Linked DNA regions of Arabidopsis thaliana. The protein of the gene in region 1 purifies or fractionates together with the protein of each later gene. This does not show direct contact. Each region holds a gene or a part of one and is shown in the gene's direction. Other genes may lie near its edges.

The links. The genes of interacting proteins can lie anywhere in the genome.
Region 2: the proteins of CSY1 (region 1) and CSY5 fractionate together in Arabidopsis thaliana (co-fractionation; one large-scale study listed by BioGRID). This does not show direct contact.
Region 3: the proteins of CSY1 (region 1) and AT3G12290 fractionate together in Arabidopsis thaliana (co-fractionation; one large-scale study listed by BioGRID). This does not show direct contact.

The regions. Positions count from the first base shown.
Region 1 is NC_003074.8:21,718,563-21,726,694, reverse strand, and holds CSY1 (citrate synthase 1), read left to right. Parts: upstream 1-2,904; 5' UTR 2,905-2,968; coding exon 2,969-3,205; intron 3,206-3,327; coding exon 3,328-3,508; intron 3,509-3,670; coding exon 3,671-3,756; intron 3,757-3,830; coding exon 3,831-3,935; intron 3,936-4,009; coding exon 4,010-4,072; intron 4,073-4,146; coding exon 4,147-4,256; intron 4,257-4,342; coding exon 4,343-4,462; intron 4,463-4,546; coding exon 4,547-4,696; intron 4,697-4,771; coding exon 4,772-4,892; intron 4,893-4,992; coding exon 4,993-5,090; intron 5,091-5,203; coding exon 5,204-5,315; intron 5,316-5,569; coding exon 5,570-5,629; 3' UTR 5,630-5,922; downstream 5,923-8,132. Other genes in the region: CSY2 (citrate synthase 2), read left to right, coding at 1-25, 314-418, 510-572, 662-771, 930-1,049, 1,128-1,277, 1,369-1,489, 1,600-1,697 and 2 more; AT3G58730 (vacuolar ATP synthase subunit D (VATD) / V-ATPase D subunit / vacuolar proton pump D subunit (VATPD)), read left to right, coding at 7,415-8,132.
Region 2 is NC_003074.8:22,190,747-22,198,326, forward strand, and holds CSY5 (citrate synthase 5), read left to right. Parts: upstream 1-1,983; 5' UTR 1,984-2,141; coding exon 2,142-2,192; intron 2,193-2,275; coding exon 2,276-2,329; intron 2,330-2,445; coding exon 2,446-2,487; intron 2,488-2,617; coding exon 2,618-2,683; intron 2,684-2,773; coding exon 2,774-2,839; intron 2,840-2,928; coding exon 2,929-3,042; intron 3,043-3,134; coding exon 3,135-3,198; intron 3,199-3,334; coding exon 3,335-3,417; intron 3,418-3,513; coding exon 3,514-3,566; intron 3,567-3,649; coding exon 3,650-3,727; intron 3,728-3,841; coding exon 3,842-3,970; intron 3,971-4,135; coding exon 4,136-4,178; intron 4,179-4,276; coding exon 4,277-4,363; intron 4,364-4,495; coding exon 4,496-4,597; intron 4,598-4,778; coding exon 4,779-4,886; intron 4,887-4,961; coding exon 4,962-5,012; intron 5,013-5,096; coding exon 5,097-5,170; intron 5,171-5,253; coding exon 5,254-5,305; intron 5,306-5,407; coding exon 5,408-5,500; 3' UTR 5,501-5,701; and 1 more. Other genes in the region: AT3G60090 (VQ motif-containing protein), read left to right, coding at 112-585; AT3G60110 (DNA-binding bromodomain-containing protein), read left to right, coding at 7,247-7,580.
Region 3 is NC_003074.8:3,917,499-3,923,398, forward strand, and holds AT3G12290 (Amino acid dehydrogenase family protein), read left to right. Parts: upstream 1-1,964; 5' UTR 1,965-2,092; coding exon 2,093-2,206; intron 2,207-2,654; coding exon 2,655-2,838; intron 2,839-3,011; coding exon 3,012-3,169; intron 3,170-3,276; coding exon 3,277-3,489; intron 3,490-3,597; coding exon 3,598-3,828; 3' UTR 3,829-4,021; downstream 4,022-5,900. Other genes in the region: RBR1 (retinoblastoma-related 1), read right to left, coding at 94-140, 227-323, 403-545, 632-736, 852-935; BUG22 (cilia/flagella-associated protein), read right to left, coding at 4,289-4,297, 4,384-4,620, 4,942-5,183, 5,410-5,441, 5,542-5,594. UniProt on the Arabidopsis thaliana protein: Catalyzes the oxidation of 5,10-methylenetetrahydrofolate to 5,10-methenyltetrahydrofolate and then the hydrolysis of 5,10-methenyltetrahydrofolate to 10-formyltetrahydrofolate.

The DNA.
Region 1 (8,132 bases):
TTCAGCTGTGCCACAAGGAGTATTGGTGAAATTTCTACTCTTTCGTTATTTGGATTTTCATACTAGTGCAAATTCCAAACTTTGTATCAGAATGCAAATCCAAACCAAAGAGGGATTTTGAAAATGATTTCTTGTCAAGTGTACAAGTTGTTTGTCTTGCTTGTAAACCATGTCTATTAAGGATACTGGATCTCTTTCTAGTATTAGTACCTTATGTCTTACTCGCCGTTGTGAATATAGTTATGTGTATATGCTTAGTAAAAGAATTTTCTATGGATTTTTGATCTGAGACGATTTCTGAATGTTTTTGCAGGATATCATACAGTCCATGCCTCATGATGCACACCCAATGGGAGTTCTTGTGAGTGCCATGAGTGCACTTTCTATCTTTCACCCTGATGCAAATCCTGCTCTTAGTGTAAGTTTTGAAATCCTGTTCTTTTCGTACTGTCAAGATGCCTTTTTCTGAAAATGGCTATGCCAACTCGATTTTCTTTCATTGGGTGCAGGGCCAAGACATTTACAAGTCAAAACAAGTTCGTGATAAACAGATTGTTCGCATTCTCGGAAAGGTATTGTTCTATCTGTTGATGATTTGTTTCCTTAACGTATCTGTGTATAAGTTGCGGGACTAGAAAAAGGGTTTACAACGTGTTTGCAGGCACCAACAATTGCAGCAGCTGCTTATTTGAGGACGGCAGGCAGGCCTCCTGTTCTTCCTTCGGCCAACCTTTCTTATTCAGAGAATTTCCTCTATATGCTGGATTCAATGTACTTTCCCCTCTTTCTTCTGTCTTTATTTGATTTAACACTTGCATTTTAAAAGGGTAGTCAGAAAAACTGTGTTTCTTTAGTCAGTTTAAATCTGTTTCAAGCTTCAAACGTGTCTGTAACACAGGATACATTCTTTAATCTTCAATTGATTACAGGGGCAATAGGTCTTACAAGCCTAATCCTCGTTTGGCTCGAGTGCTGGACATCCTCTTCATACTGCATGCTGAACATGAAATGAACTGCTCTACTGCTGCTGCTCGGCATCTTGCCTCTAGGTACTTATCAGTTATCACTGATTAGAGATATTCATTTAGACTTCTTTGAGTGTTTAAATCAGTATTGTGTTTCTGCAGTGGTGTTGATGTGTACACCGCATGTGCTGGAGCTGTTGGGGCGCTTTATGGTCCACTTCATGGTGGCGCGAACGAGGCCGTGCTTAAGATGTTAGCAGAGATTGGGACTGCTGAAAATATTCCAGATTTCATTGAAGGCGTGAAGAACAGGTAACTCAATGCTTAATAACTACAAGCACCAAGTACTCTGAATTGTGGTGAGTCATGCCGGTAATGTTATATCCCTTTTCTATGTTCTCAGAAAGAGGAAGATGTCAGGTTTTGGACATCGTGTTTACAAAAACTATGACCCCCGAGCAAAAGTTATAAAAAAACTGGCAGATGAAGTGTTCTCCATTGTTGGTAGGGATCCTCTCATCGAGGTACTGTAGATCCTTGTGCTCACGTATCTCTCCTAGTATTTGGTTGTCAAAAAAATTCTTATATAACATGACTGTGGGTTAAATTTTGTTTTGACGGATGATGTTTTCAGGTAGCAGTTGCTCTAGAGAAGGCGGCACTGTCTGATGAATATTTTGTTAAGAGAAAGCTGTACCCAAATGTTGATTTCTACTCTGGATTAATCTATAGGTAAGACATTGCTGATTCATCTGACATAGACCCTGTAACCATTAAGTTCTTTACCTGAACCTTGTGTTGGTAATTGAAATGGGGGAAAAACACAGGGCAATGGGATTCCCACCAGAATTCTTCACAGTCCTGTTCGCAGTCCCGCGTATGGCTGGATACTTGTCACACTGGCGTGAGTCGTTAGATGATCCTGACACTAGGATCATGAGACCCCAACAGGTAAAATACATAACTTGTTTGATAGATCAAAAGGTTTATAGTTTGAGCTAACTGAATTGTGTGGCTGCATATAGGCCTATACTGGAGTGTGGATGAGGCATTACGAGCCAGTGAGAGAACGAACGTTATCAAGTGATTCGGATAAGGATAAGTTTGGTCAAGTTTCCATTTCGAATGCATCAAGAAGGCGTTTAGCTGGATCATCTGCCCTTTAGTCTCAATCCTAATACTCACCAATAAAGAAGAAAACATTGGGATACCTCTGGGAAAACAAGAGAGTCTTCTCAACAACATGTGTTGTTTTCTTTCTCTTATTCTTAAACACTTAATAATACAACCCTATTCTTATTGTTTGTCTGTTATTTTAAAATGTTATGATTTAATAATAATAATCTTGTTATAGGGAACGACATGTACTTTTGATAAATTGCGCTTTTATTCCTGTTAATGTTAATTTCTGAAGACATGTCTAACACATTGGTTTGGAAAATGTCAACCACCAAATCATATCATTTAGGATTAACTGAATGTTATTTTTAGGGTGAATATGTTATGCAGATTCCAAGTGATAACAATAAGCTAACCACTCATTGAACATCATATCATATTTTTTTGTACGGTATTTATAATTTGCCTGAAAGTTTCCTATCATTTTGCATTATTGCCAATAATATTTCCATTTCAAATGAGAACAATTGTGAGAAGTGTGAACAAATATAAAAGAAAAGTGACGTTAAATAACAAACCCTGGAGTACCTGACACTGATTAACAGAAAGAAGTAAGAAGCAACCAAAACAATACATAACTGTCGCAGAGACACATACTTAAAATTGGTTAAAAGCCACAAAACTCTGATTGAAGACAAAGAAGACACTGTAGATTCACGCCAATCATACCCACAAAAGTATTAAGACAAAAGTGTTACGTAATGAAATTATCAAATTTCCCCACTATAAAACCATGCATGCCTATATATCACTTTGAACTACAACAGCCACTTGGTTTCTTATTCGCTTCCCTTTCTTGAATTGTGATCTTTTTGAGGTGACAAATGGAGATTTCGGAGAGAGCTAGAGCTCGATTAGCCGTTCTCAATGCGCACTTGACAGTATCTGAGCCGAATCAGGTGTTGCCAGCGATCGAACCATGGTGCACATCGGCTCACATAACCGCTGCACCGCATGGATCGCTTAAAGGAAATTTGAAGATCGTCGATGAGCGTACGGGGAATGAATATCAGGTCCCAGTCTCAGAGCATGGTACCGTTAAAACCGTTGATCTCAAGAAGGTATATATAATGAGTTTTTATGCTGAAGTTATTTCTTCATTGTGGCCATTAGTACTACGAATAGATTGTTTTTTGTATATTGTGTGAGTGTGTATAAATGGATTTTCATGTTTGGTGTGAAGATAACGACAGGGAAGGATGACAAGGGGCTTAACTTATACGATCCTGGTTACTTAAACACGGCTCCTGTTCGATCTTCGATTTCTTACATCGATGGAGATGAGGGAATCCTACGTTATCGGGGATACCCAGTTGAGGAGTTGGCTGAGAAAAGTACTTATACAGAGGTTACTTATCTCCTAAGTAAGTCTTGATCATCTTGTATAGCTCATTGTTGTTGCTTAATTATGATCATCTTGATCATCTTGTATAGCTCATAGTCTTGCTTTTGTGTGGGTATTTCTTTAAAATTTTGTCTCCCTTAGTGCTCTAGTTTACTACTGCTTTTTTTGTTTTTGCATGCAGTTTATGGGAATCTGCCTTCTCAAAGACAGCTAGCTGATTGGGAGTTTGCGATTTCTCAGAATTCAGCTGTGCCACAAGGAGTATTGGTGAGTTTCTTCTACTCTTTCCTAACTTTCTCTAGATCTTCGAGGTGAGATGATTTATCTGAATGTTTTCACAGGATATGATACAGTCCATGCCTAATGATGTACATCCAGTAGGAGCTCTTGTCACTGCAATGAGTGCACTTTCCATCTTTTATCCTGATGCAAATCCGTCTCTTATGGTAAGTTACGTTTTTATAATCCTGCTTTCTTCTGAAAATTTCCACGCCGACATGGAAATCCCCATTTGGTGCAGGGCCTAGGTGTTTACAAGTCAAAACAAGTTCGTGATAAACAGATTGTTCGTGTTCTTGGACAGGTATTGTTCTGTCTGTGTGATTTGGTGCCTCAATGTATAACCGGACTATGAATTATAATATAACGTGTCTGCAGGCCCCAACAATTGCAGCAGCTGCTTATTTGAGGAAGGCAGGCAAGCCTCCTGTTCAACCTTTGAGCAACCTTTCTTATTCAGAGAATTTCCTCTATATGGTGGAATCAATGTACGTTATTGTCCCTCTTTGTTTGATTTGGAGATGGTAGCCATAAAACTGTGCACTTGTTTAGTCTCATCTTCCATTGATTACAGGGGAGATAGGTCTTACAAGCCTAATCCTCGTTTGGCTCGAGTGCTGGACATCCTCTTCATACTGCAAGCTGAACATGAAATGAACTGCTCTACTGCTGCTGCTAGGCACCTTTCCTCTAGGTACTACTTATCATTGGTTAGAGATTCATTTGAGTCTGCTATGAGATACTTTTTAATCAGCACATAAATCCTCTGTTTATGTAGTGGTGGTGATGTGTATACTGCTGTTTCGGGAGGTGTTGGAGCCATTTATGGTCCCCTTCATGGTGGTGCAGTTGAGGCTACGATTAACATGTTATCAGAGATTGGGACTGTTGAAAATATTCCAGAGTTCATTGAAAGCGTGAAGAATAAGTAACTCAATTCTTAGAGAGTATACCTAGAATGTGATGGTCAATATTCCATTAATGTTAACTCTTTTTATTCCAGGAAGAGGAGGTTGTCGGGTTTTGGACACCGCATTTACAAAAACTACGATCCCAGAGGAAAAGTCGTTAAGAAACTGGCGGATGAAGTGTTCTCCATTCTTGGAAGGGATCCTCTGGTTGAGGTACTCTGTATTCTTGTTGCTCACGTTTCCTTGTTGAATCCTTCATATGTATGATGAATTTGGTTTAAGAAAATATTTGGTGTATAAATAATGTTTTCAGGTAGGAGATGCTCTAGAGAAGGCGGCACTTTCTGATGAATATTTTGTTAAGAGAAAGCTGTACCCAAATGTTGATTTCTACTCTGGATTAATCAATAGGTAAGACATTGATTAGTTATCTAACAAATTCTGACTAATGAGTTGTTGTAACCATTGAGTTCTTTCTTTATTTGAATCTTTTTTGTTGGTAACTGAAATGGGCCAAAACACAGGGCAATGGGAATCCCATCATCATTCACCGCAGTATCACGTATCGCTGGATACTTGTCACACTGGCGTGAGTCTTTAGATGATCCTGACACAAAGATCATGAGACCCCAACAGGTAAAATACACCTTTAATATATAAGTGACTTTGTTTAGATAACATTGGCTCATGGCTAATAAAGACACTTTTTGATAGATCAATGAGTAATTAAGTTTTCTTTTTTGCTCATGAGATTATACATTATGCATAGATACATACACTCTTGGATATATTAATGACTTGAACCTTCTTCTTTTTTTGGCTCATGAGTAATACAATTTTTAATGGATATATGCAGTTTTTGAATAGATCAAAAGTTTTTTTTGGCACAGGTCTATACTGGAGCGGGGATAAGGCATTACGAGACAGTGAGAGAAAGAACCAAGCTGTGATTCGGATTTGGATCAGTTGGGTCAAGTTTCCATTTCGAATGCATCAAGAAGGCGTTAGCTGGGTCAAGTCTCGTTCCTATACTACTAATATGAAATTTGACTCGGAAAGCCAAGCGAATATACAAATATATATAAAGAATATATATGCTTATATAAAATATAGTTTGGGTAAACCCCATCCGACCTCGAGTTAGTAATACATGTGTGTGTGTCTATGTATGTATAAGTTGTCAAAATAAAATAAAAATATTTGTGTATTATAGCATGTTTTTAAGAATATGATGTTGAACAATAATCATAAAGTGATAAAAACAGTTCAAATCTAAATTAAATATAACCGAAACAGTAAGAAGATAGTAGACAACAAATCAAGATGAGATTGGTAATTGAACATATATGCAGCAATAATGACGAAAACCAAAAGGGTCTTCTCAACAATGTGTGTTGTTTTCTTTCTCCTTATAGTTAAAACACTCAATAATCTACATACTATTGAATTTGTTTTTCATTTGTTTGTCTGTTATTTTAAAATTTATGATTTAAAACATATCTTAAGTATAGTGGTTCTATAATCAATTCCATCTAATAATTAAGTTGGTATAGGAAATTAAGACATAACTTTTGATAGATATTGTGCCTTTTGTGAGGAAAGTTCTAAAAGAAGATCTTCTTATTCTTCTTTAGTTAATATAACACATTGCTTTAGTTCTAAGATTTTTTATATATCACACATTGATTCGGAATAATTAGTTAACCACCAAATCATATCCTTTTAAAAAAATGTCATACAATATAGTGTTGAATGAGAGATTATTTTCTCCTCAACCATTTGGAAACTCTATACAACAAGATTTCATCCCTGAAACTTGGAAATGAAAAAATGTATTTGGCCGAGTTTTGTTTTTGTCCTAAGCACTAAATAAGAACGTGAGATATATAGTTCACCGCGTCTAAAGACGAAAGTGATGGGTCTCAGATTTAGGACACGAAAGTAGGCCCCACCATACGTGATGAGCTGTATACGTATTTATTTTATTTGTAAAAAATAAGCCCTTTATATTTACGGTTAATTACACAATTAGCCCATTTCTTTCTTCTCCACGATCACAGCGACGAGGTCGAATACGATCTTCTTACCCCTGTCGACAGTTCTGAATTAATATCAATTTTCATTGTCTTCCTATCTCTCTTTCTCTCTTTGGCTTCTTCCAATCTAATTTCAGTGATTTACTTGTTAAGAATTCACCTTTTGAGAGGCCCAGGTATGTCAATCCCAAATCTCACTCTTTTCTTCTCTTAGTTTGGTTTGAAACAATTGAATCTGGTGGGAAATTTAGGCGTGTATCCATATAACCTGACTGCTCAATTCTGAGTCCAATTGATTAGGTGTGTTCTGTGATCTAGATTTCATCTTCTGGGAAACGATCTATCCTAAAGTCGTAGACTTTGATTCAATTAGAAAATTCGTAGACTTTGATTCAATCTGGGAACAAAAAATGGATAATCTGATGAATCTCTGTATGGATCGTTCGAGATAATGATTGGGTGCTTGGTTCATTAGCCTAAGATTTTCCTAGTGAAACTTAAGAATCTTTGCGTGTTTGTTCAATTATAATTAGTAAACCAGAATTTACGAGATTTCCATGTTGATCTCTTTCCTCAATGATGCAAGTATTGTTTCGCATCATCGAAAAATCATCTTCTGTTGTTGGCTTCTGTCAATAGAGTAAGTCTGTTTGTGTCCTTGTTTAATCCCATCTCTTTCATTTGCTGTAGTTTTGAAATATGGCTGGCCAAAACGCGCGTTTGAATGTGGTTCCCACTGTTACTATGCTCGGGGTTATGAAAGCTCGTCTTGTTGGCGCTACAAGAGGTCATGCTCTCCTCAAGAAAAAGAGTGATGCTTTAACTGTTCAGTTTAGGGCACTTCTCAAGAAAATCGTTACAGCTAAGGAGTCTATGGGAGATATGATGAAGACATCGTCTTTTGCTCTTACCGAAGTAAAGTATGTTGCTGGTGACAATGTCAAACATGTTGTCCTCGAGAACGTTAAAGAAGCTACTTTGAAGGTTCGTTCTCGGACAGAGAATATCGCTGGAGTGAAGCTGCCTAAGTTTGATCACTTCTCTGAAGGTGAGACCAAGAATGACTTGACCGGTTTAGCTAGAGGTGGTCAACAGGTCCGAGCTTGCCGTGTTGCTTATGTGAAAGCCATTGAAGTTCTAGTTGAGCTTGCTTCTCTCCAGACTTCTTTCTTGACCCTTGATGAAGCAATCAAGACGACTAACCGTAGGGTCAACGCTCTGGAGAATGTGGTGAAACCAAAGCTGGAGAATACAATCAGTTACATCAAGGGAGAGCTTGATGAGCTTGAGAGAGAGGATTTCTTCAGGTTGAAGAAGATTCAGGGATACAAGAGGAGGGAAGTCGAACGACAGGCAGCTAATGCTAAGGAGTTTGCTGAGGAAATGGTTCTTGAAGACATCTCTATGCAGAGAGGGA
Region 2 (7,580 bases), 470 kb from region 1:
ACATATAATCCACAACATATGCATATCATTTCCCAAAACAATACAAGAAACCTGAAATCCAAAAAAGAAAAACCCAAAATCTTCGCTTCTTCATCTTCTTTTTACGTTTATATGGTGAGAAATTCTATGAAGGCTGAGTACGATATAGATCATCTTCCTCATCAAACCTTTTATGGTGATTATTCAAAAACTTTGGTTCCCATGAACAAGAACTCCCAAATAATAACCAAGATCAAGCCTAAGATCCGTATCATCCATATATTTGCTCCCGAGATCATCAACACCGATGTCAAGAACTTCCGCACACTCGTCCAAAGTCTAACCGGGAAACCGGAGATCACCAAAACCGGTTCTAAGAAAAAGATAACCAACACAAATTTTCCTGCGCCACCGGGTTTGCCTCAAGATTCCGGCCAAGAACATACGGCTGAACTGGACAACAGAATAATAGGGAGCCACGTGGTGAAGGAAGAATGGGGATCAAGTTCAAACACAAATACTTACTTTGATTTTGACGGTTTGATCGATCTTGATGAAGACGACAACATATTCTCAAGTCGATGGTTTGATCTTCAACAACAATAATTAGTTTGGTCACACCTTACCCTAATATGTAGGGTTTCTACTAATCGTAAGTCCTGTTGGTTTTGATGATGATTTGATCATTTATTCGATATGGAGCATAACAAGACATGGGTCAAGACAAGACCAAGGTTGAGACGATGATCATCTATATAGGTAGGAACATACATAACTTGTATATATGTACAAATGTTTGGATTTTTTGGGCTTGGGTGCCCTTTGATTTAATTTGTTAGACTGACTTAATTTACCAAGAAAGAGTGTAGTGATGAGTTTGTAGACTGATTTTGCCAAGAAAAAGTAAGTTTGTGTTTTGATCTCCGATCATGTGAAAACTCTACTTAAAAATGGTGTAACGTTGTACTCACGCGTGCGTGTGCAAGTTTTATATATAGAAAAGCGAGAATGATATTGTGATTGAATTTTTTAGATTGTTCATTTTTTTTCGTCAAATTATTTTGTTTGTTAATTCATATATAAGTCATGTTACTTACAACAAATTGTTTGATAAAACAAAAATGAATTCCATTAAACTGAATTAACGAAATACTATAATGATAAATGATTCTTACATGACTCTAAAAGAGTTTCGATTTGAATATATAAATGAATAAAGTTCTGTTTTATTGGCGATGTTCTTGATATATACCTTCAAAACTTTATGGCTAAATTACATTTTAACTTCTCAAAACGTTAGATTATGAAAGGTGGACTCACATTTCATAAACATTAAAATGATATGGTAATATGATTATAATGAGTTGTAATGGATATATGTCATATTTTTCCAATCTCATTCATTGAAATATCAGTTTATTTTTTGGATGACATAACGATCAATAGTGTCATATAATATGATATCCAATGTTTTAATATTAACTAGCTATAGCTATATCCATCATTGTTAATAGTTGTGTTACATCATTAAATAGTATTTCAAAAGAATATAAAAATTTCTGATAACTAATGGAGAATGAAGAATATCAAACCGCCCATTCGACCAAGAAATTATAATAACGAAGTTTATAACTTTTTTTTTCAATTGTGAAATGTCATTTTTACTTTATTTATTTCCAACAAAATAAAATTATGTTTTATCTAAACCCTTGGACTTTACCAAGAAGCTACTTTTTTATTTAGCAACAGCAAAAGCTACATACCATTTGTTCTTTATTTATTAATGACCGTTTTTTTAGGCATTAGAATCGTTACGGCTGCTTCGAATCTTGCGTCTCACGGACCGACGGAACTAACCAATCTCAACCGAACCCGAACATAACCTGTTCGTTTGGTTTTCTAAATGGTAATCAATTGGTTCATTATACCGGTTTGGTAAGAAGAATCCGTGTGTTTGGTTTACATATGTTGTAATTTGACGCTTGTTCATCACGTTGCAGATATATCTCAACATCTCTCAATTTTTCTCTCTACGTTGAAGAAACTTTCGAATTTCCCGTTAGTTCTTCTCCACGCTTTCTCTTTCCCTTTATCTCTTATCTGGTTAAGCCAATCTTGATTGTTTGGATTCGTAACCGATCAGTGTTGTGAGGTTTGAAAGAATGGTGTTTTTTCGCAGCGTATCAGCCATTTCAAGACTACGGTCTCGAGCAGTGAGTAGATTTAGCTTTCATCCTTTTTGTGTTTTGTTTGATGTGATACAATTTGATGATCAGATCTAATATAAGAAGCACAGGTGCAACAATCCTCACTTAGTAACTCCGTCAGATGGCTCCACTCTTCTGAATTGGTACTTTCTTAGGTTTTCATGTTCTCGTGATCATGCGGTTCAGTTTGAGAACCAAAAATTTGGAATTTTACCTTCTAGGTTTTGTGTTGATGTTGCTTAAAATGATGGTAATGCAGGACTTGAAGTCGCAGATGCAAGAGATCATTCCAGAACAACAGGTTTAGTTTCTACTTCGTTGTGATTGAGATTGTTTCTAATTTTAGGGCAGATTTCATGTAGAGATCAAGCTCTTCTCTCTGTTTTAGTTGATGTCATTTCTCATACACAAACACAACTTTCAACTTTCAGGACCGTTTGAAGAAACTGAAATCAGAACAAGGAAAGGTTCCAGTGGGGAACATCACCGTTGATATGGTACGGATTCTAATGATATTTGTGATTACACAAAGGCTTTATCTTTTAAACATACTCGTATATATAGTTTTACATGTGGTATTTGTGAAGGTACTTGGTGGAATGAGAGGGATGACTGGATTACTCTGGGAAACCTCATTGCTTGATGCAGATGAGGTATGGTTATAATTTTGATCACATAGATAATTTTCAGGTCAGATCTTGAATTAGAATTATATAACATATGATATTATCTTTTGTATCAGGGAATACGGTTTAGAGGCATGTCGATTCCTGAATGTCAGAAAATATTACCTTCAGCTGAGTCTGGAGAAGAGCCCTTGCCTGAGAGTCTTCTGTGGCTTCTATTAACTGGAAAGGTGTGATAATCTTAAAACATTTTATACATACAATAAGTTTCAACTTTATATATGAATGATCTAAAGTATAGTTTTCCCTCCTTTCGGTATAGGTGCCAACTAAAGAGCAAGCTAATGCTTTGTCAACAGAGTTGGCTCATCGTGCGGCTGTGCCAGGTTTGTAGTTCACCTCTAGGCTCTGTTTGTTTATGACCTCAGTTTCATGACTCATCAAAACTTAGCAAAATACAAGCTGATGATAATTATAAACTGGATATTATGATGTTGCAAATATAACAACTCTCCATTGCAGATTATATATACAAAGCTATAGATGCTTTGCCTTCAACAGCTCATCCAATGACTCAATTTGCTAGTGGTGTTATGGCCCTTCAGGTGGATTGCTCTGTTATGTACTATTTTTTTTTTCTATGCATTCTCTTAGAATTTGTTTATTTTCAGGAGCATCTTATCTTGTTGATTGTTATTCAGGTTCAAAGTGAGTTTCAAAAGGCGTATGAGCAGGGTGATATTTCTAAGTCAAAGTATAAACTTTCAATAGTTCTATACTTTGTTTCTTGATTGGCTTATAGTAGTAGGCATCATAGAAACTGAGGTTTCTTGTCAGGTACTGGGAACCAACCTTCGAAGATGCCCTAAACTTGATTGCTCGTGTTCCTGTTGTAGCTTCATACGTTTATCGGAGGTTAAATTTTAGGATCTTTTCCAATGCTTTTAGCTTCCTGGACTAGTTAATTTTCTTAGATTTTCCTTTCTTCAGAGTGTTATTTTTCAATGTCCATTCTAATTCACATTGCAGGATGTACAAGGATGGTAGCATCATTCCATTAGATGATTCTTTGGATTATGGTGCAAATTTTTCACACATGCTGGGATTTGATAGTCCTCAGATGAAAGAGCTCATGAGGCTTTATGTCACTATCCACAGGTTAGTCCTGGTTCTCTTCGTTTCAACATGTCTCATTAATTAGAATACATAAGCTAAAGTTTTCTTGTATATAATGATGATCTTCCTTTATTTTACCAACTCTTACCAAATTTCTATAGCATGATCAAGGTTTTTTTTTCCCTTGTCTACTGGTTTCTGTTTTAGTGATCATGAAGGTGGAAATGTTAGTGCTCACGCTGGTCACCTGGTATGTATTTGCCACATGATCTTGATGCATGATAATGTTTTGAACTTATAGACATTTCTGATGGTTCTGTTTTTGGCTAATGATGTTTCTTCACTTAGGTTGGGAGTGCACTTTCAGATCCATATCTTTCATTTGCTGCTGCATTGAATGGTTTAGCTGGGCCACTCCATGGTTTGGCTAATCAGGTATTTATATCCTTAATGAGTCTTATATTGTTCGAATCTACAAGTGTATATAACTTGAACTCTAAGATTGACTCTTAATTATAAGCTTAAACTTGGAATCTTACTCTGTTTTTTTTCGTTGTCTTGTTGTAGGAAGTTTTGCTGTGGATCAAATTAGTTGTTGAGGAATGTGGAGAAAGTATATCAAAGGAACAGCTAAAAGATTATGTCTGGAAAACGTTAAACAGTGGCAAGGTTGACAAAATTATGCTCTGCTTTGCCTTTTGAAACTATCCATATGTATTGCATGCTAATCATGACAGGCCATAACTTGAATTATTGTATAAATAATGAATAAAAGCTTCGGATTATGTTTTGATTATGGGGTTTGCCTGTGAATGTTGTCAGGAAACTTAAATAAACATTTGTCTTGCAGGTTGTTCCAGGATATGGCCATGGTGTTTTGCGTAAAACGGATCCAAGATATATATGCCAAAGAGAGTTTGCCTTGAAGCATCTACCTGATGATCCTCTTTTTCAGCTGGTAACTTTTTTTCCCCCTCAAATCTTTGGTCATGCTTTAAAATTTTACTGGCTCACAAATTATGCAAGTCTATAGGTCTCAAAACTTTATGAAGTGGTGCCTCCTATTCTAACCGAGCTGGGAAAGGTACTACTTATACTCATTCATTTCATGTGCTACCAGATTTTCTGATTTTCTCTGGTTTTATGAATCTTGAAATTGCTGTATCAGGTCAAGAACCCGTGGCCTAACGTTGATGCTCATAGCGGAGTGCTTCTGAACTACTATGGTCTAACCGAAGCAAGGTAGGAACTACTTGTGTATCGAGGCTTTGACCTTGTTTTGCTGAATCTTGGTTATTATAGAGTGACATTCCTTTCAAATATAGATACTACACGGTGCTTTTTGGCGTCTCAAGAAGTCTTGGAATCTGCTCGCAGGTACATACATACATTCATGCCATCGACAATTCGATTTTAGTACGTATCGCCATATCCTTCACAATAAAGTCAGACTAATCTTTTATTCCTTTTCTGTTTCAGCTGATATGGGACAGGGCACTTGGACTGCCACTTGAGAGACCAAAGAGTGTAAACATGGACTGGCTCGATAACTTCACGCGCTTGAACCGCTAAGTTAATCCCTGACTGATGTTGGTCAAGGTTCTCTCTTTTATCACTTCAGCCTTCTCTTCCATTTGATTGGGTAGCTTTTAGAGATAAAAAAAAAACGATTTTTCGTCGAAATTTTGTTCTACAGAGTTTTCATTTTGGTTCTTCTGCAAAAACAATAAAGTCAAACAAGTAAAGAAACAGTCTTTCTCAGATTGAGACACCATATTATTGTTCCTCAACTTTGATAGACAAATGATGACCATTGATATGTATTGATTAGTCTTTGGTGAATTATCGCATAATAAACAATACTCATGCAACCAGTCCCGCTCAAACAGAGTGTTTGAAGTGAACAGAAGCAGAGTCAAGAAATTCAAAGCCTCGGGATCAAACAGAAGCTTCCTCCTATCTTAAGAAGCTCCCTACGAAGCTTTATGATGATTCTACAAAACACATTTGCTATCTTCAGTGAACAGTAAGATGCAACGTGTTCTCTTCTAAACCTTCAGATATTTGGCTAAGTATAAGACTCTTCGTAATCACAAAAAGCCAGAAATGCGAAATTGATTTTGAGTCTTCTTCCTCACAAGTTTTCTCTAACTTTCAGAGGAGTCGCTGGATCCTGTTACCGAGAATTATTAGAAACCGAGAGCAGAGGTTTCTAGCTAGGACAGGAAATATATTATTAGAACATATCCTAGTCTTCCTTGTCATGGCCAGTCCAGTGGTGCAAGAGAAACATACAATTCCAACTCAAGTATGTGATGGACTTGACTTGCTTAAGCCGTACGGCATCCTCGGAAAACCAAAACCATGTCGGAAAAAGGAACTTGACTTCCTTGAGGCTTACGGTTTCCTGGGCTCGAACCCAACTACCCAAGTCAAGTGACAGAGAGTCTTGACATAGATTAGGCACCTCCTTACTAAAGCCAGACAACTATACAAGATTATTGGTTCAAATATTAGTCAATCCTTTCGCGTTTTCTGGCTTGACCCGTCTCGTCATGCAAGGGTTGGTCACGAGTTTCTTATTCTTCTAAAGTTTACCAAAATTAATCCCCTTTCTTTATCTTTGCGTGTGAGTGTGAATTAAAGTATTGATTTATTTAATGATGGGTTTAACTTAAAAAGTTTAAAATTGTGTCATCAAAACCCATCAAGACGTGTCTTGTAACTCTGTATCACACAAACATTCGTGTGTACTAATAAATGCAAATATTTTAGTCACACCTTTTCGTAATTATTTATTTATCATTTAAATAAGTGACAAATCTGGGTCCAATCTCCATTAGAGGCCCATTTACAACGAATTAAAGCCCATGTCTTTTTGAAGTGGATAAATTCCATGCCCAAGTTACTCACATTAACCAACATCGATATAAAAGGAACATTCTATTTCTAGTAACCCATGAGGGTCATTCCTGTAAATAGATCTGCCTTCCTTCCTCCTCTCCGTAGACGGTTGTTGCACACAAAGCGAGGTTGGTTTGACCCGAACCTACCCGACCCGTTACTATATATATAAACACAAAATGGGTAAAGCAAAGGTGAAAATCTTATACGTAGGTCTATATCATTTCCATATGAAGTGGAGATATATATATATAGCTAACGAGACCCTAAATATTTTTTTCTTTCTTATAACATATAGTTTCATTTCATATATTTAAAGGCTTCATAATACGAAACAAGGTGATAAGAAAAAAAAAAAGAAAAAAAAAAAGCAAATTAAAAATTAAATCCCTAAAAACAAACGAGCGTATTGTTATGAAGGAGGACGAAGAAGAAGAAGCAGTGATATCGAACGGCATGAACGACGACGACGATACTAACAATATTAACAACAGTTCCACTGAATTTGATAACAATCGTATCGGAGACGGAGACGATAACAGTAATCTGAATCAGATCAAACAAGTATGGGGAACGTGGGAGGAGTTGGTGTTAACATGCGCCGTTAAACGTCATGCTTTTTCCGATTGGGACTCCGTCGCTAAGGAGGTTCAGGCTCGTTCCCGGAGTTCTCTCATCGTTTCCGCCGTCAATTGCAGGCTTAAGTATCAAGATCTCAAACGTAGGTTCCAAGATTCCGTCGACGTCG
Region 3 (5,900 bases), about 18 Mb from region 1:
CTAAGTTGCAGGTCCAAAATATGAAATCTATGTCAATAACTATTCTTACACAAAACAAAGATAAATGTAAAATAGGAAGGGAGCTAAACTCACTTGCTTAGAAGGCTAAGATGCACAAAGTTAGCCTGCACCTCCTTTGCCTAGTAAGTAAAAATTAGTTAATAGAAGCATATTTAACAATGATATAATAGAAGTAGAAGTATATTTAAAAGATGTTAGTCAAAACCTGAAGTCTGTTCTCCCAGTCTGCGCCGTAAAGTTCACCCAGTACAGATCCAGCCTTGACCACAAACTGAGGTAACTCTTTAAAAAAATCCACAATACTATAAACAGAAAAGAGGAAAATCGTCACTACAAATGAATTTAAGAATGACAAGGAAGGAAGAATTGAACACTACTTACTTTAGCTTCAGAGCCCTCAGTATCTGACATAGATTAAACTCATTATCACCAGACACTGACAGACCATCCGCTTCTTTTCTCACACTAAGCCTCTTCACTGAATAGAGAATAAACGCAAACCAGAACCTCTCTACTTCTTCCCGCTAATAAGAAGAAGAAAAAAGGATTTAGTCATAATGAAACCACAGTTAACTGATAAAAGAGAAGTTAGAGGAAAAATGTATTTCACCGTTCCACTTCCAATGTTAGACATGCTTGCTGACAAAATTCGTTTGGTTTCTGTAAACAACTTCAAAGCTTCATCGCAAGTGCTCCCATCAAGAGACAGAACTTTCTGCAATAAGAAATCAACTACAGGGATTAGAGCTAGTCCTCAAAATTTCCGAGAGAACTCAAATGGTATCTTCAACTAAACAAATGCAACTAGATCAGCAAAGAGAAGAGTAAACCTCGCATATGTCCAAGAGAGAGGCTTCGCTTCTTTTCCCATTTGGTTCAATGGGCGGGGTCACTGGAGGCTGAACTTCTTCCATAGTCTCCAACGCAGCTGAAAACATGCAAAATCAAGCTAATTTTACTTCCAATTAAACTGCTAACTGAAGACGAAGAAAAAGGGACTTTTCAAGCAAAGAGATTTGTTAATTTAATCACACTGAAATTCAATAGGAACCATGCCCAACCCATTCGGAAGAACACACTAACAGACATGAGAAAACAAACTCCCAATTTCCCAAAACATGGCAGAAAGACAAAATTTGGGGGAAAAAAAGAAGAGAAATTGGGGCATAATCTAAAACCCACCACTCCGGAAAAATTTTACCCAGATGTTATCTTAAATATTCATTCAAAGTTTTTCTCTTTTTTGTTTTTGGAGAATTCTCTCACCAACTTACAATCGAATAGCGAAATATCAATAGAAAATTTCAGATAAACCACCTAGAGGATAAGATTTCAAATCAAAGGATAGGCAATAGAGAAAGATCTTACCTTTTTGTGTCACAGATCCCAATACCAGACGTCGCCGATTAAAGCCTGAGCAGAAGATCTGATTTTTAAGAAGCCCGACTTCTAACGCCTCCTCCAAAAAATTCGACAAATTCAGAGGAATCACAGAGATCTCCGAAAACCCTACAAATTTTCCCTCCTCTCAGTGTCTCTCTCTATCTTCACCTGACTTCCCTCTTCTCTCTCTAGAATGGGGTCTGATTATGCGGCAAACCCTAAAAAAGGATATATCTCGCGCGGGAAAAACAACACGGAGAATACATACACATACGTATACAATTATATTCGCGCGCTTTCAACCACTATTAAATCGACACGTACCCATCTGTGACCCAATTTTACCGCCAAAACTTACTTACTGTTGCGTGAAACGCTGAGAGGGAAAGATTCGCCGTCACGGCGGGGTCGAAACAAACGGAGTGGGCCATTAACGCCGTCTGGGTTTTCGTGACCGCGACAAAGCCTCGTGTGAGTTATGATTGGGCCCACCCTTAATACGATGCCGTTTCTAGTTTAGGTCACGCGGGAAATTACATATTTGCCATTGTAGAACGTTTGGTTGCAGAAGTATGAGTGTCCTATCCGCGGATGGATTCAGATTAAGTCTTCTTCGTCATCTTCGAGTGTGAGTGGATCCAGAGAGAGAATTAGATATTTCCGACACGAGGCAAATTCCTAGTGGCTCATGGCGTCATCATCTGATCACACGGCGAAGATAATCGACGGCAAGGCGATTGCTCATACCATCAGATCAGAGATCGCCGAGGAAGTTCGCGGTCTATCTGAGAAACACGGCAAGGTAAACGCATCTTATGAATCAGTGTCCTAATCTTGACATGTCTCTCCTTATAATTCTCCGTTCTTTTATAAGATGATAGCACTATTGAAAATTTACTCTCTTTTAGCTTTATGGTTTAAAATGACTAGATTTAAGCAGCTATGATCACAACCTTCTATTGAAAATGCTTAACAGGGTCAAATGTAAGCTCCATTTTAGTTAGATCACTGTTATTTTGTTTCGCTGGATTTTTGAGCTGCCTGCATTACTTCAAGTGGCATACTATCTTATTTATACAGATAGTGTGTGCTAAGCTTATAATGTTTGATATCATTGTAATAAAATAGAAGGAACGAGAGTATGTGTAATAAATGGTTTAGTGCGTTTGTTCAGTTGCTTCAGTTGGACCCCTTTATATAGTTTCAAGAATGTACGAGATTCAATCGAATCTGATTTTACCTTCATGCAGGTCCCAGGACTAGCTGTAGTTATTGTTGGGAGCCGAAAGGATTCACAGACCTATGTGAATACGAAGAGGAAAGCGTGCGCTGAGGTTGGGATTAAGTCATTTGACGTGGGCCTACCAGAGGAAGTTTCTGAAGCTGATCTTATTAGCAAAGTTCATGAACTAAATTCAAATCCGGATGTCCATGGTTAGTTGTGGCGGTAAATAATACTTGATTTTGTATGTCTTCTCGGTTATCATTAGTCTAAACTATTAAGGATAGATAGAAACTTTAATGTCTATGCAAGTCTTTCGTTTTGGTATAAAGCAAACATTCCTTGCTCTCCTGTGCTTATATAAGCTTTGGTGTTTGATTTGCAGGCATATTAGTTCAACTCCCATTGCCGAAACATATTAATGAGGAGCATATATTGGGTGCAATCAGCATTGATAAAGATGTCGATGGCTTCCATCCTTTGAATATTGGTAAGCTAGCCATGAAAGGCAGAGAACCCCTCTTCCTTCCTTGCACCCCAAAGGTACTTCTCCTTTTTTTGCATATAGACTTCAGTCTCTTTCAAGCGAGAAATCTCAGTGTTCTGTTTTTCTTCTGTATCAACTATGAGGTGATTTTCTGTGTGTGCAGGGATGTTTGGAACTCCTAGCTAGAAGCGGCGTAAAGATAAAGGGGCAACGAGCAGTTGTTGTAGGTCGGAGTAACATTGTTGGTTTGCCCGTTTCACTTCTTTTGCTCAAGGCTGATGCTACTGTCACAACTGTACATTCTCACACCAAGGATCCTGAGGCTATCATACGGGAAGCTGACATTGTTATTGCTGCATGCGGACAAGCCCACATGGTGATTTTCATACATTTTCATTGTCATTTAGAAGATAATTTAGTCTACCTCTTGTAGATCAATGTGAATAGTTTACAATTCAAATATACTATCGTTTTGACATTTCAGATTAAGGGCAACTGGATAAAGCCAGGGGCTGCAGTAATTGATGTTGGAACTAATGCAGTCAGCGACCCGAGCAAGAAATCAGGATACCGGTTGGTTGGAGATGTTGATTTCGCAGAAGCTTCAAAAGTTGCAGGTTTCATAACTCCGGTCCCTGGTGGTGTAGGCCCAATGACAGTGGCAATGCTTCTCAGGAACACCGTAGACGGTGCCAAGCGTGTCTTTGGCGAGTAAAACAATCTACTGTATGTAATAAAGAAACCAAGAGTTTCTCCATTCTGTAATTGTGTACTTGGCTTGACGATATTTTTCCACTCAAATAAATTGAAATTGGCGTTCCCTTTGGATTACCTTACATTGTTCTGCAACTAGCTAGAACGATTATTTCCGCAATTCAGTTAAATACAAGGGTGTCATCATGTGACTCAAAAGCATGTATGTTACTTGTCTGCATTGACCCAAGATCATGTACAATATTCATTGAAAATCTTAAGAGACTATATAATCCCATTACAGGAAGAGTTTAACACAACAAAGTTAAAGCATGCCCAAGGTATGGCAAACTCCAAGTTCCATGGGATGCTACAAGCGACACTAAAACTATCACGCTCTTGCTCTATCTGAATTAGTCAACACTTAAACAGTAGATTTCCTGTATACCACGACAACGGCAGCAGCATTCGGAATGAACTTATCATGCTTTCTGCAATAAGAAAAAGAGCATGCTTTGTAAGTAAACAAAGTGAACGAGAAAAGGAGAAGATAGTAACTAAACAGTGAAATCCAAACCTGCACTGGGAGATACAGCTTGAATTCCGGAGGAAGCTCCTCTTCAGAGTAGAGACGATCAGCAAAATATATGCGCCTAAGGCGGCAGTTAGCATGAATCTGAACTCGCAATGTCTCAGCATAATTAGTCCCATAAGCTCTCCTAGTAAGATCCGCTAAGTTAAGCTGGATTTGATTCCATCCCTCGTCCATCTTCAGTGGCATTGTGCAAATATACGGCTTTACTCTAGTGACAGCCTAGGAAAAATTGTTCAATACAAAACATCAATACTAGTCCCTAGGATTTTAGCATAATACACAAAGTGCAGCAGATCTAATGTATTGACAACAACTGTATTTACAAGCTTATCGAAAGATTAGGAGATTGATACCAACTGTTGTTAGTATACTAAACTAAACATTATCCAGAAGCTACCTACTAATCTATTGTGTGACATCAGACTAAGCCATTGATTAGAAATTGCTTGAAGAGAATAACCAATAACCTAAAACGCAGCATCGACACTACAGTAGATAAACTAGTGAAGACTGAATAAGCAAAGGGAAAGACATACATACTTGAAAGTTAGAAGCTCGGAAACGCCGGCGAACATTCTTGTCATCCAGAATCTGAATCTCGAATGAGAAATATTTCTTCATATCCTTCACCACCAAGACCAAAAAAGGAAGTTTGATACCAAGAGTAGCGGAAAGATCAGCAGGACATGTAATGTATGTAGACTGAATATTTGATCCAACTACTTCAAGCACATTGGATTGAATGTCATCATCATGGCAACGCTTCACATGTCCATCCACAACTATTAATCAAAAAACAATAAACAGGCTTAGGTAAACACTAATTTGATCAAATTCTAGAGAAATTGTAGCTCAGATAGAACAAGTCAACAATTATTTGTTAGACAAAGCTCACGGTTTTAAATTCATACAGCTTACAGAGGATTTTGACAAAAAATCACACTAACTTAGATTCAATTACTTATATCTAGCAAATATATTATAGATTATTTTGATCATAAAGCTCACCTTCTTTATCCCATATCTGAAGAGGCTTACTTCTGCAAAACAAAAAACCTCCATGATTTAAGAACAGTAGAACACATCAAACGATTCCAATTAATTAGATATTGAAAAGAAAAAAGTAACAAAATAATATACCCTAGACTGTACAAAATAGACAGAAACCCAGATTGAAACGTGTTCTTGAACATCTTCCTGCTCCTCCGGAATTTTCCTGCTTCTCCGATTCCGAGAAGAAGAAGCTCGTAGACTTGTCGTCGTATGATAATAAATCTATAGGGCTACCAAATTCCTCGTTATAAAGGCTTGGGCCTCGGCCCACTAATAAAGCCATGAGCCTTTGAGTTGAATGAAGATAGATAATAGATGCCATTTTTTCCAATATAATATTGCGGTTCAGCTGGATAAACCCAACGTGGTATTCCACCCGCTAATCACATGCCACGTGTCTTATTCTCCACAAAGAGAGTGTCACGTGTGCCTAGATATCAGCCAAG